Rhinolophus ferrumequinum: one gene and its partners. The protein of the gene in region 1 interacts with the protein of each later gene in a pairwise test. Links are inferred from orthologs where the notes say so. Each region holds a gene or a part of one and is shown in the gene's direction. Other genes may lie near its edges.

Region 1 (4,188 bases):
TAGGAAAAGAAAGAGGAAAGGTACTCAGCCGCACTACCTAAAGATACCCTCTGTAAAATGGAATTTCAGTGTATTTCCTTTCCATAATTTTCTGTGTCAGTGATCTGATTTGAGCAAAGCCTTCAGGATATCAAGCCTAAAATCCTTTCTGCTTCCTTGGAAAACCTGTAGCATCAGCCCAGACATGTCCCTACTTTTCCTTCTAAGAGGCAGATCTCATCTTTGGGCCTCAGAGCTCTGGCCTAAGCCTCCCTCCAGAAGGGGAGGGTGGGTGTTCAGACACCAAGAAGAACCTGGGGAGGGACAGGCCTGTGAAATAGTCCTGGCTCTAGGATTAAGCTGGCTGGATCCCAGCGAGGGGAGACCCATCCTTGAGCCCCTTCTAAGCTTTAGCTAGGGGTGGGGCAGATAAGCAGGAATTCACCCTCACGGGTGCAGTGCCAACACCTTTAGATGAAAGAAACTCTTGGCTGACACGAGGACAGCGACCCAACAAAGAAGGATAGAAGGCTGGCAACAGAGAAGTCTCTATCTCCAAGGCCCCGGTCAAGGGTCATCGGTGGAGCCATGGTCAAAGGGAAGGGACCGGAAAACTTCTAAGAAGCAGGCTGTGGGAGGCGGAACTCAGCTGGGACTGTTGCTCTATAAAACAAAATGGTATATGTCACTGCCACCTCCTTTTTCTTGGTCCTGTTTCTCTGTCCAGTTGCTAGCATCCCCCCTGGGTAACCAAACTGAGCTGAGCACCTAGGTGGCCTGCTTCCCAGCCTTTGGCAGAAAGCGGGATGGGTCAGGCATGAAAGTGGGACAGCCAGTTAGCCTGTCCCCCATCCTCTGTAAGCCCTACTGATACAGGATGGCAGGTGACTTGGAGGGGGCAGGTGACCTGGCGTGGAGAGCCAGAGGGTAAGTCCTCGAACAAGTCGCAACAGGCCACCAACTTGAAAGGGAAAATTGTGCTGTGATGGGAAATGTGTTCAACAAACCTACTGGGTGACTAATTACAAAGGCTGGGCCGGAGCGTCAGAGGCCGCTTGTTAAACACCTCATTAAGTGGCACCATGAAAGCTGCCACCAGTGCATTCTGGGAGCTCCGAGGGGGAATGAGGATGGGATAGAACCTTTTGAGGTAGATTCCAGAAGAAGCTTGGATCTCACTTCTAAATACAGCCTGGAGCTCACAAGTCAGAAGCCTCAATGGGGGAGAAACCAAAGGAAGTATTTAGGATGCAGGGGACTTAGTAGCTGTGTGACCTTGAGCAAATCTCATCCCTCTCTGAGCCTTAGTATTCCTATCTCTAAAGTGGGGTAGTAGTCACAGTCCTGCCCACCTCACAGAGACATACATAATAGGGATTAAATTAGATCGTGGATATAAAGGTGCTTGGGAAACTATACAGCTCTACCTACACATGAATGATATCACCTGAACCAAGGGGCAAACGTACTTGGCAGGATTAGGAACCCCATCCTTCTACAACCTGGCTTTATGGGGTCTGTCTAGGCTGAAGTGACCAGGTGGCCAGGTGGTTGAAGCCATCCTTAGCCCCTGAAAGGACACCATGAAGGAAAATCTGATTTGAGAAACTGGGGCAGTTACCTAATAGGGACACCTATGTAATGGAAACCTTGAATGAGGGGGCAGCCTGGAGCCTGGAAGGTGCCTGTGCAGGTGGGACCAAACCCTAATTTCTCCTGCTGACTGTACGATGACTCATTCCACATCCCAGCCCTCTTACCTTTAAGGAAGAGCCGGAAAGGGTGTGGGGAGGAGAGGGAAGTAGGTCTTCAGCCTCAGTCCCGCCCCTTACCCCTCCCTCCCCACCCTGCTCGGGGCCAGGCCACCCAGCCAAAAGGCAGGCTGAGAGCAGGAGAGCCACAGAGTCCAGCACTGGTCCTGAGGCAGCCAGTTACCCTGCCACCGTCTGTCTGTCCGTCCCCAGAGCCAATGGAGAGAGCCAGTCTGATCCAGAAGGCCAAGTTGGCAGAACAGGCCGAACGCTATGAGGACATGGCAGCCTTCATGAAGAGTGCCGTGGAAAAGGGTGAGGAGCTATCCTGTGAAGAGCGAAACCTGCTGTCAGTGGCCTACAAGAATGAGGTGGGTGGCCAGAGGGCTGCCTGGAGGGTCCTGTCCAGTATCGAGCAGAAAAGCAATGAGGAGGGCTCGGAGGAGAAGGGTCCGGAGGTGCAAGAGTACCGGGAGATGGTGGAGACTGAGCTCCGGAGAGTGTGCCACACGGTGCTGGAACTGCTGGACAGCCACCTCATCAAGACGGCTGGTGATGCTGAAAGCCGGGTCTTCTACCTGAAAATGAAGGGCGACTATTACCGTTACCTGGCCGAGGTGGCCACTGGCGATGACAAGAAGCGCATCATTGACTCAGCCCGGTCAGCCTACCAGGAAGCCATGGACATCAGCAAGAAGGAGATGGCGCCCACCAACCCCATCCGCCTGGGCCTGGCCCTGAACTTTTCTGTCTTCCACTACGAGATCGCCAACAGCCCCGAGGAGGCCATCTCACTGGCCAAGACCACCTTCGACGAGGCCATGGCTGACCTGCACACCCTCAGCGAGGACTCCTACAAAGACAGCACCCTCATCATGCAGCTGCTGCGAGACAACCTGACCCTGTGGACAGCCGACAACGCCGGAGAAGAGGGAGGCGAGGCACCTGAGGAGCCCCAGAGCTGAGCCGAACCTGCTCCCCTCCCTGCCCTGCCCTGCCCTGCCCGCTCCAGTCCCCCGCCCCTGGCAGAGAGGACTAGTATGGGGTGAGAAGCCCAACCTTTCTCCCCAATGCTCTGCCCCCCCCAGCTCAGAGAGGCTCCACAGAGAGGGACCAGCAGAGCTGAGGCCACCTGGAGCCAGAGGATCCCACTCTTCCTGCAGCTGTCGTGTGCTCCTAACCCACCCACTCCTGCTCTCTGCACCCCCGCTTCGAGACTCTCCCTCCCTGTGAACCGGGCCACTTCTTTCCCACTCTTGACTCCCTCCTGCCCCTGCAGCCTCTGGATCTTAGGAATTGAGGAGTGTCCACCCTTGTAGTGGAGAAATGGACCGTGTGACAGGCTGGAGATGAGTGTGTGTGTGCGTGTGTGAGAGAGAGACCGACCCAGAATGAGAGGGAAAGCATGTCTGCTGGGTGTGGCAGTGTTTCTCTCAATAAAGTTCCCCTGTGACACTCCTCCTGTCTTTTCCAGTTATTGGTGGAGGGCTGGGACTGAGGTTGGCGTCTGATTTACAGAAAGCCTGACTTTGGACCTCTGATTTAGGGTCCTAACCTCCCATGGAGCTGGCTCAGTCACCTGCAGGCAAGACTTTGGAGCCGGTGACTCCAGGTGAGGGGTGGGGGTCCAGCTCTCTCCATCAGGGTGATCCCAAACAAAATAACTGGTCTGGTCGCAGGAGGGTCAGGTGAACCCAAAGGTGGCTGAGTCTCCTCTGCTGAAGAGCTCAGATCTGAGGGGACAGGGAACCAGTGAAGTATCAGGTGTGAGGTCTGAGTACAGCGCCGCATGGATATACAGTAGTGAGCTGCATTGAACACCACCCATTTGAAAGCGAGGAATAGTCCCATCAGGGAAATGCTCAGATCTGAGAGGCGGGCATACGTTATGGGGGAGGAGTGTGACGCCGCCATTAACCGCCCAGCTCCGAGGAGAGGGAAACGCCCCCTAGCGTTGGCAGATGGCCATAAAATGAAATGGGCTGACGGGGAGGGGGCGCGAGCTGGGTGGGAGCGGAGGCCAGTCCTGGCCAGCCGAGCCTGCCGCCTCCGCTCCCAGCTGCAACACGCCAGAGCCTGCGGCCACCTCGCTCTCTCCCGCCTTAACAGCTCAGGCTGGAGGCGGGCCCGAGGCCGATATAGTCCAATCACTGGACAGGGCTCCTCGGGTTACCGCCCCCGGGGCCAGACTGACCAATGGGATAATGTGCGGTGGACGCGCGCGGCGCGTCTTCCCGACGCCCGCCCAGCCCTGCGAGTGCGGCGACGCGCTGCGGGACTGAGTGGCCCCGCCACCCGCCGAGCGCTGGGGGCGGTGCTTTCCGGGTTTCACTTAGACGAGTTGCTACCTGCCTCGCGCCAGTTCGGCATCAGAGCAACGGGACGGGGCGGTGCGGAATAAGCAGTCCCTTCCCTTTGAGTCATCTGCTTAACCTGCGGTGCCTGGTGGGCAAGGCCG
Region 2 (4,991 bases), on another chromosome or scaffold:
CCAGCCACAGGTAACTGTGCAGGCCATGAAGTGCTTGCTGAAGGAGTATGGGAGGCAGTTGCCTGCAGGCCTCCCTGGCCTCTGGTTTGTGTCAAGAGGGCTGCAGAAAGGTTATTGTTAAGCTAAAGTTGCAAAGTCACAGAGGGACCAGTAGGATCTGTGGCTGGGGCAGACCTCACTGGATGATGATTCTCATGACCACTCCAAACTTTTGTACCATCCCAGCAACTGGAGTCTTCTTCCTGCGACACGATTTAATGAGAAGGCTTACCACCATTCTCTCATTAAAGGAGAAATGCTTAAGGGAATTATTTGTCTAGAGCCTATACTGAAGTGTGTATTCAGAGCTGAGAGGCAATAAATTGACAACTGACCCAAGGACTTATGCTCAGTCTTTAGGATTTTGGGGTTTTAGAATTCACGAGTTGGGCAAATCTGACTATAGATCGCCTATACACCAAGAATTTCAGTTTTGATAATGGAAAGTACCCTGATCAGCTATATATGCCCTTTGCAAATAACAGACAATTCAGAGGACTATAAAGCATCAAGTGAAAATCCTCCGTTATCATTCATTCACCAGAGATAAACAATTTCAACCATTTGGTGTCTTTCCTTCCAGGCTGGCAACAAAATAAACATGACTAACACAATGGGTACCATGTGGATTCTTTTTAAACTTTTTTTTTTACTTACTATATCAAAGAATCCATAGATCTTTCTTAGCCAATATATACAATTCTCTATTTTTTAAAAATGTTACAATACGGTGAGATTTTAGGGTGATACCTTTCGCTAAAACCATCCTTGATGCAGACGTATTTGGACTTAACTCACCCCCCCCCCCTTTATTCCCCCTGGATCCTGCGGGCACTAGGCTCAAAGTGCTGAAGCTTCATTTTTCACACACAAGTCTCTTATTTCACTCGCACACGTCGAGTCTTCTACATCTCATTTGGTGCTTCCACAGCTGGCAACCCGACCACGCGTTGGAAGAAGGGTCTCAGCCTCCTCCTGGAGAGTCACGAGGCGCCGTTCAGGGTCCGGCGGTTTACCAACTTGACGTTCTTCCTTGACTTTTCAGGTCGCCGGCTAGTGACCTCTCTTTTCCCCCACCTGACTGGCTCCTCGCTAGTACCGCCGTCCCCAGCACTCCCGGCCCCGCCCCACCTGGAACCCGCGCCGCCAGCACCGCCCCGCCCTGGCTCCACCGGTCCCGGCCCCCTCTACCGGAATCGCGCGGTCCTCGCCGGAGTTCAGTCCGCGGGAAACTTAAGCCGCTCACCCAACCCCAGACCCGCCCACTTTGCCCTGGCTCCACCCTCCCGTAACTAGCCCTGCGCGTCCCGCCCAGGCACCGCCCACCGGAACCAGCTCCGCCTGCACAGGGCCGTCCTGGGCCCGCTCTTTCAGCCCCTAGCTCCACCCACCGGAACTTGCCCCGCTCTTGTGGACCCAGAGCTCCAAGAACCTGAGCCGCTCGCCCCGCCCAGATTCCGCGTGCTCGTGCCAGGCTCCACCACTCGGGAACTGCACCAGCTGCCCCGGCTCCGCCCACTCCGCTTCGAGAGCCTGTGCGGGCTGCTGCACGCCAGCTTCGTCCCCAAAGCGCGCCTGGGGGGCTGGACCAGTTGGCGCGCTTCAGGCCCGTGCCCTGGCCCAAGCCACCATGGAGGGGGATGTCCCCGACGCCGCAGCCGCCAGCTACCAGCCGGCCAGCCCTCCAAGGGATGCCTGTGTCTACAACAGCTGCTACTGGTGAGGGGGCGCGGGTGCAAACGCTAGCATCTCCGTGGCTGCCGCGACGTCGCCGCTAGGCCCCGCCTCTTCCCGGCTCCTCCCCCGGGCTCTCTGGGCCTCTACTGGCGGGTTTTCCGGTTTGGCGCAGAGGACGCCGGAATGGTAGCTCGCGTCTTTTGAGTGGAACGTGGGCATTTGGATGGGGGTGGGGGTGGGGGTGCGGAATTCGCCAGTAATGGTCGAGTCGGCAGTGTATTACTTTTGCCTGGCGCTTTTCGCTTGGACGTTTCTCAGCGGGTCTCAGTGCTTGTGGGCTAGGAAGGGGAGGCAGAGGCGGAGGGTGGAGCGCAGAGAGCCTAGAAATTACTTTGCCTGAGCTTGTGTTGTGTCACACTGATGTGATGGTCATTTTAATTTCGGAAGAGAATGGAGGCACAGAGATTTTGCTGTAACTTTCCCAAGGTCACCCAGTTAATAGTATCCAGAAATCCATTTCAGGCCCTCTTGTACCAAAAACCACGGTCTTAACTACCATGTTGTCATAATGGTTACACTTACATAGTACTCGCTATATGCCAAACATTGTGCTGAGTGGTTTATGTAAACGGATTCATTTATGCCCCGCAATTGCCTTAGGAGGTAAGTATTGTTATCCTCATTTTGAAGATGAGAACACTGAAGCACAGAGGGCTGCAAGTAAACTTGTCTGAGGCCACATGGCTTGTAAGTGAAAGAATGGGGATTTGTGAGTAGAGTACGGCCCTGGAGTCCACACATTGTACCCCTGTCCTAGGCCACCTCTGTGGCTGAATCACAGTTCCTACCTTGGTCCTTTTCACTCCCACACCTACCCTTTCCTTGCCTGTGTAATGACTTCTTCCCCACTTCCAGTCCCTTTACAAGAAACGGCAGGGCCACCTAAAACTATCTTTCCCTCCTTCAGCTGGTCACCAAACCAGTGCCACCCAGAGCTTAACGTTTGTTCAGCTCTGACTGCTTATCAGGCCCAGTGCCAAATGCTTTCTTCCATCCATGCCTAGGAGATAGGTTCTATTACTCATTTCTCTCATTTTACTAATGAAAAGACAGCCACAGAGAGGCTTGTTGTTGGCCCAAGATCAGCCATTTAGCAAGCGGTAGTCCTGAAACCAACCTCTGTAATGCTGGAGTCCATGCTTGAGTACTGCACTTTATTTCTGCCCTCCCGCTCACCTAAATCCTATTAGTTCTTGTCCCTAACGTCCATTCATTTGTTTTATTCTTTCACTAAGTATTTATTAGACATTTGGAGTGTGTAATGCACGATTTAAGGTACTAAGGATACAGCAGTGAACAAAATAGACAAAAGTCCCTGGTAAGATCTCATGGTTCTTACATTTTAGTTGGGGAAAAGCAGACAAAAACAAACCATGCTTAGGTGTTGTTGAGTGTTATGAGAAAATTAAAACAAGGTAAAGGATGGAGACTTACTATTTTATATTAGGATATTTAAGGAAGACATTGTTGATAAAACGATCTTTGAACAGATCTGAAGAAAAAGGGCGGAAACGTCGTGGATATTGGTGGGAGATCATTCCAGGCAGAGAAACAGCAGGTGCAAAGGCTCTGAGAAGGAAACAAGCCATGACTATTCTAGAAAACAAGGAGGCTGACACGGTTGGAGTGGAGGGATTTGGTGGAAGAATGGTAGGAGATGAGCGTCTCTTCAGTAGATCATCTTTTTGAGTTCCTTCTACCGTCGGTCAGATCCTCCTTGACTTGCTTGCTGTTGGGGGCATTTTCCAGTCCTTCCTAACAGGTCTCTCTGCTCAGCTCTCCCATATCCTGTCAGGTCTAACTTCTTTACACGTCTCAAAGCCATCATGAATTTGAATGTGCCAGAGAATCAGCTGGGAGCTTGGAAAACATACAGCTCTTAGGATCCACCCCCTCACCCCCGAGTCTGGATGTGTGAGCGGCACAGTGGAGCAGTCTGAGTCTGGCCTGACGGTCACATATCAGGGAATACAGACGTAGATAATAAAGTCTGTCCCCTGAGCATAGCAGGCCCTCTAAGGTCTGCTCACTGTCTGTTCCTCCAAAACCTCATTTTGAACTTGGCTTCCCTGCCCTACCCCAGAGTTTCTCAACCTTGACTCTGTTGGCATCTTGACCATGTTAATTCCTTGTTGTGGGGACTGTCCTGTGTATTGTAGGATGTGTAGCAGCATCCCTGGCCTGTCCCCACTAGAGGCCCATAGCATCCTCTCCCAATGTGTGACCACCAAAAATGTCTCCAGACATTGCCAAATGTCCCCTGGAGGCAAATCGTCTCTGATTGTGGACCAGTGCCTTACCCTGTCTGAACATGTGGGCTGGGTGCACCTTACTACACTTGCTCCTGTGGGTACTTCTAACTTGAAATAAACGTTGCCTCTACTTCTGTTAGTTTCTGTCAGATGTTAACTTATCTTTTAAGACCCAGCTTAGGGATAATAGTGGTGGCCGATGTTTGTGTGACACTGTGCGGTTTGCAGAACATTTCTGATTCTGTTGCAATTGTTTTGTGTTTTTCAATCAGTTATTGAGCACCTACTGTGTGCCAGGAATCCTTGTCCGCATGTCTTTCTGAACTCAGCCTATCACCAGTAACCCTTAAAGTAACCATGGGCCCTAATGCTGCTTTATTAGCCTTTCTGCTGCCAAAACAGTCAATTGACAGGTTGGAACATTTTTGTCATCATTCCCCACTTTTTTTTGACCAGTTAAGTGGGTGCCAGGATTCACACCAAATCCAGGGCTCTTTCTATTCCAAATGACTCCCAGTGTTTCCAAGTATATAAGGTCCTCTTTTTTATTAACATCAAAAGTATCATGAGATCTTTCTACATGATATTAATTGTACTCTTGAAAACAAAATGGACATAAAAAGGGACTACAAGTTCAGTAACTCGTATGTTTAAATTTATTTTTCCTCTGTGCAACATTCACACATATTTAAAAAACAATTGGCAAAGTGTGTCCAAGCCACATGTGTATTCAGCCTGCCAATAGTGCTTGTATATATGGATTCATGAACTTTTTGCTTCAACTCTGCCCATCCTTGGGATGGAGGGAAGGGGAGCAAACAAAGAAAGACCACTGACCTGTACCTCCTCCATCTTCCCGTATCCCTTAAAATTAATAACTCCTTCCTCTATGCATCTTTTATGGCCTTCTTGGATGCTTGCTTATTTATGGATCTGTATGTCCCCTCTCATTGTCTGTAAGCT
Region 3 (4,991 bases), on another chromosome or scaffold:
CAGTAAAATCTCAATAAGCATTTGTTGATTGCAGAGTTTATAATCTACTTGGGGAGACCAATATGCCCTCATGCAATGAAAAGCTATGTAATCACAAGCACAAAATTAAAGAATACAAACTAAGTTCACAGAGGTTCAGGAGATGCCGAGTAGATAAGTGATCTCTCAGGTCAGACTAGTAGGGGAAAGTTTCCAAGAGCATATAAGTTTTGAGCACTGAATTGGAAATTTAAGGAGGTGATGGACATGAGTTGGTGGAAAGGTGGACCTTTTCAAACAAATGCACAAAGGGAGACAATGCAAGATATGAGTCAAGCCAGGACAGGTGCCTGCCCCACCCACCCTGCCCTTTCCCTGTCTCAGAGGCTCTGTGTGAACTGCCACCACACCTGTTCAGTTAGCAGAGAGCCCCCTGTGACCTCGTACCCACCAGGTCTCTTCTCTATCAAAGTCACCATTCACACAGCACTTACCAGGTACTGCAGGCTGTGCTGCGGGAGGAAGAGGCGCTCGCAGGAAATGGCTGCCTGGCATTGTGAACAACTGCATGTCGTCTCTCTAGTCTGGACCTCAGATAGGAGGAGTACATGGTCCACGACAGATGGAGGACACATCCTGTTGGAGTAGAAGGAGACAGGAATATGAAGAAGCAACGTGGTCATGTTACTGTGAGCAGACTAGTATCACTTTGAAGGCCCAACGTGCTGCCGCCTGTGCTGCCGCGTTGTATGGAAAGCCTTCCTGACAGGAGGAAGGCCTGCTCACCACAGAGCGACACAGCAAATGGTGTAGCACCAGGCGCTCTACAGACACGTGAAATTACAGACCCACCCCCAGGAGCTTGCCGTCTACCAGGAAAATTGGGACTGGATAGGCAGAACATACACATCATACATTTCTTAAAAAGCTGTCAAATGTACAAGTGCAATGTCATTCAACTCCTGATCCCATTCATTCAACCAACATTCACTGAATATCTTCGATGTGATCCCAAGTTGACAAAAGCAGAAAAGGGGACGGTGTTTCCAAGAAATCATGTGAAATTCTGACTTGTTGGAACTTAGTGTGCCCAGTGAAAGATGAAGCAAGAAAGGTGGGAAGTGGCCCGACTCTGAAGAGACCTGCGTGCCTTGCTAGGGAGGTTGAACTTTAGCACATAGACAATGGGGGAAATCAAAGGAAGTTTTAAGTAGGGAAACTGTGTGATCACATGGCCGTGAAAATGATCCCAGTTCTGCCTCCTAGCTGTGTGACTTTGGGCAAGTCACTACATCTCTTAGCATTAGTGTCTTTGTCTACAAAGTGGGGTTAATGGTCGTCCCCATCTCACAGGGTTGATTTGAGGAGTAAGTGAGCTTGTGTGTAGGTAAGGCAACGGGCACAGCGTCTGGCACATAATAGGCGCTCCGTACATTTTAGCTGTTATTACCAGGAAGGTTTCTCAGAAAGGTAACTTTCTTGGTAGCACCAAACATACAGTGCAGCGGGGGGTAAAGACTGATGGCAGGAGGTCCGATTAAGATGACACTGAAATTTAATCCGGTGACAAATCAGATCCTGAAAAGGGATTTGGATGTGGGAAGCTAGGGAGAAGAAAAGGTGAGGGGGGTCTAGCTAGGGAGATTGGGTAGATCAGGGTAGACCCATTTAGCAAATTCAGACCTAAGGGTAGCCAGCCGATAGGGGTGTGGGTGCAGAAACACATCGATGAGTTCAGTTTGGGACTTGTTGAATGAGAAAGGCAACGCGAAACGGGAGCCTGGAGGACATCAGTATTAAGGGAGAGATCAGAAGAGCCAGAGGAGAAAACTGATTGGTCAGCGGCCACAGAGTCAGTGTAACTGCTTCTGGGGGATGGAGAGAGGTGGGGGTACACTATCATCAGCTAACCTTTGGTTTATGTTAGGCAAGCCCGCCACCCAACTCCCCAACATGCTTACAGCCTGTTTTCTCGTCAGTTCTTTGCTTCTTGCTTCTCGGTTTTCTGCCTCTTGTAGAGACCGCGTTGTTGTTTGTTGTTTTGTTTTCCTTTTGCCCTCTCTTAACTGAAAGAGGGAAAGTTCTAGCATCTCTCAACACGATCACCTAGGATACCCCGAATATCAGGGAAGGGGGTGGGAAGGGGGTCAAGAGAGGGGTGGAGAGGGGATGGGAAAGACCACGAAGCAGGACGGGAAATGTAGTCCTCAAGCGTGAGCGGGATGGCACGACTGAAGAACTCGGTTTCCCAACTGGCTCTCCAGGCGCGTGCGCAGATGGCTGCCCCGGCGAGTGGTAAACAGAGACGCCAGGCGGGGGCTGTAGCTCGGAGCAAAACAAAAGGGAAACCCGGGGGGGCGGGGGGTGGGGGGGTTTGGTAGGGGAATTGGTGCGGGAATAGGAGAGGCTGGGGCCGCGGGGACGTGGACCTTCTTAAGAGTGGAGGGAAGGGAAGAGGCGGAGGAGGGGGAGTCAGGGGAGGGGCAAGTGACGCGGGGGAGCGGGGCGTGGGGGAGGGCAGCGATCGGGGTGGAGGAAATTTGGGAGGAGTGTCCGGGGGGCAGAAACTTAAAAGGGGGAGGGAACTGCGGCGAAGGAGACGTTCGGGGATGCGAGCGCAATGTATGAGGGGCTGTGGTGCCTCAGGTTTAAAAGAGCAGGAAGCTGAGTGAGAGAGGTCGGAGGAAAAGTGTCTTCGCTAGGCGGAGGTTACAGGTGGTGTCTCGGCAAGTGCTGGGAGGCTGGAGGCTGGAGGCGCGGAGAGGATCGGAGAGCTGTGTGGAGGGGACAGCTTAGGGGCTAGCGTCCTGCGGCGAGGACGAAGTTGGACTTTCTGAGGACTGGCGGGAATGTGCCTCCCGGCTCTGGGTGCTTCCCCCCTGGGGGGAGGCATCGTGAGGGTCTGTGGCAGGCTCCTCTGAGCGCTGGGCGGCTGAGGTCCACCTCCACGTATGGATCCAGGGAATGAGAATTCAGCCACACAGGCTGCCGTGATCGTGCACCTCGATCCCGACTTCGCACCCCAGAGCCGTCCCCGCTCCTGCACCTGGCCCCTTCCGCGACCAGAGCTTGCTTCCCAGCCGTCCGAGCCGCCCGAGGTGGAGCCAGGTCTGGGAGAGAAGGTACACACGGAGGGGCGCTCAGAGCCAACCCTGTTGCCCTCCCGGCTCCCAGAGCCGGCAGGGGGCCCCCAGCCGGGGATCCTGGGGGCCGTAACAGGTCCTCGGAAGGGAGGCTCCCGCCGGAATGCCTGGGGCAATCAGTCATATGCAGAGCTCATCAGCCAGGCCATTGAAAGCGCCCCGGAGAAGCGACTGACACTCGCCCAGATCTACGAGTGGATGGTCCGCACTGTGCCCTACTTCAAGGACAAGGGTGACAGCAACAGCTCAGCAGGATGGAAGGTAACTCCGACCCCCTCACCTCCACCCCAGTACCCTCTGCCTCGGGCCCCCAGCCTCATTACTGCCATTGGGGGGGGCCCTTTTACACCCACCCTCACCCCAGAGATCCACCTTCCATGGTCAATTAGGCAAACTTTTACTTAGGACATAGTATGTGCCACGCTCAGTGCTTGATGCTGGACGATCACAGATGAATAAGACACTGTCCTTGCCCTGGAGAAAATTGAATTCCCTGCTCACTGCTCAACACTCCAGGCACAAGTGTTGGCTTGGGCTGCCCCAAACACTTATTCCCACAGAGAAGTCTTTATCCTCTGTGCTGTGTGGATTCTCCGAAGAGTGCAGCCTTCCCTCCTCCCCCACCCTCCCACCCCAACACCTCTTCTCCCGTTCCTGTGGGATGACTTGGACTCCCTGCTTGTCCCCCAATACCTCAAGGTAGAGGTTCTGTCCCAAAACTCCTCTACCCAAGAAGAGGGAGTGGAGTTGGCAAAAGGTAAGAAGAGTGCTGATATTCAGGGGGTAACGTAGCTGATCTTACGCACTAAGAAAAAAGGGGCTGTGAGCTGATACCTGCCTCAGTTTACCCTATAATGCCAAGCAACTCCCCCTGGTAAGGGGCTCTCCAGTTTTGGGGGGAGAGCTGTCATTTACTGTTAAGGAATATTAATCATGGGGAAAAAAAGGCAGAGGGTTCTGACTTCAGAGCGCAGAGAAGAAAGTGAGCTAAGGAGCTCGCTAGGTGCTCTGAAAACTTGTCTTGAGAACTATGGGGCTCTAATCACGAAACTGCGGAGCTTCAACCCCTATTAATGTCTTGTACGACCATAGGTGGTGAGATCAGCGCGCCCTTAAGGAAGTACACAGGGTTGAATGAGCAGTCTCCCCCAGGTATAAGAGGTCGAGGGGTCCGATCTGCTGGGTGGCCGGGAAACAGGACAGCTGATGGAGACCCCTGGCACTATTTCTGGGTAGACTGCCACGCCACAGTCTCAGCTCATAAAGAGCTCCCCTCCTTGGTCCCAGCCTACACAGCTGTTTTTCTTTTCCTTTAGGTTCATTTTCCAGGGTAGAAGGAATAACCATGAGTTGGTAGTTATGCTGTGGGAGTAGTTCCTCCTTATAATTTACACTTATACGGGGCTTTTCAGTTTACAAAGTGGATTTTTAGTTTTTTTTATTCTATTAGTCTTCACAGCAATTCTGAGATTCCACATGTTGCATATTAGGAAAGTAAGGTATAGAAAGGTTAGGAAACTTGCCTAATGTCATTAGAATGAGGACTTGAAGTCAGGCCTAACTTTAAATCATATGCTATTGCTGTTTGTCCATGCTGCAACTTCTCTTCACTGGAGTGATGACAAAGCCAGTCAGACTGAGCCTGGGGCCTCTAAGACCCCCCACCCCACTCCAAGGGGGAACCCTCACGCCTGAACTGGCTTACCTGATGATGTACCAAGGTAACTGCCACCCCACCAGGGGGCGGCACCCACTTAGAACAAGAAAGCTTAGTTCAGTGGCTTGGGGAGCAATTAGCAGTCACCCCCTTGCAACAGGTAAGAATTATGGGCTCCTAGGAAGCTGACCTCTCCAGGTAGGTGGCTGTAC

The links.
Region 2: the proteins of SFN (region 1) and NTAQ1 interact in binary tests that used the Homo sapiens proteins (3 or more experiments, as listed by UniProt). The two-hybrid records come from large-scale screens. The link is inferred for Rhinolophus ferrumequinum from reciprocal best matches to the Homo sapiens genes SFN and NTAQ1.
Region 3: the proteins of SFN (region 1) and FOXO4 interact in binary tests that used the Homo sapiens proteins (3 or more experiments, as listed by UniProt). The link is inferred for Rhinolophus ferrumequinum from reciprocal best matches to the Homo sapiens genes SFN and FOXO4.

The regions. Positions count from the first base shown.
Region 1 is NC_046292.1:18,397,464-18,401,651, forward strand, and holds SFN (14-3-3 protein sigma), read left to right. Parts: upstream 1-1,830; 5' UTR 1,831-1,948; coding exon 1,949-2,695; 3' UTR 2,696-3,188; downstream 3,189-4,188. UniProt on the Homo sapiens protein: Adapter protein implicated in the regulation of a large spectrum of both general and specialized signaling pathways. Binds to a large number of partners, usually by recognition of a phosphoserine or phosphothreonine motif.
Region 2 is NC_046297.1:60,735,987-60,740,977, forward strand, and holds the start of NTAQ1 (protein N-terminal glutamine amidohydrolase), read left to right. Parts: upstream 1-1,432; 5' UTR 1,433-1,669; coding exon 1,670-1,758; intron 1,759-1,765; exon of another isoform or gene 1,766-1,902; intron 1,903-4,991. UniProt on the Homo sapiens protein: Mediates the side-chain deamidation of N-terminal glutamine residues to glutamate, an important step in N-end rule pathway of protein degradation.
Region 3 is NC_046284.1:1,868,858-1,873,848, reverse strand, and holds the start of FOXO4 (forkhead box protein O4), read left to right. Parts: upstream 1-2,251; 5' UTR 2,252-2,930; coding exon 2,931-3,383; intron 3,384-4,991. UniProt on the Homo sapiens protein: Transcription factor involved in the regulation of the insulin signaling pathway. Binds to insulin-response elements (IREs) and can activate transcription of IGFBP1.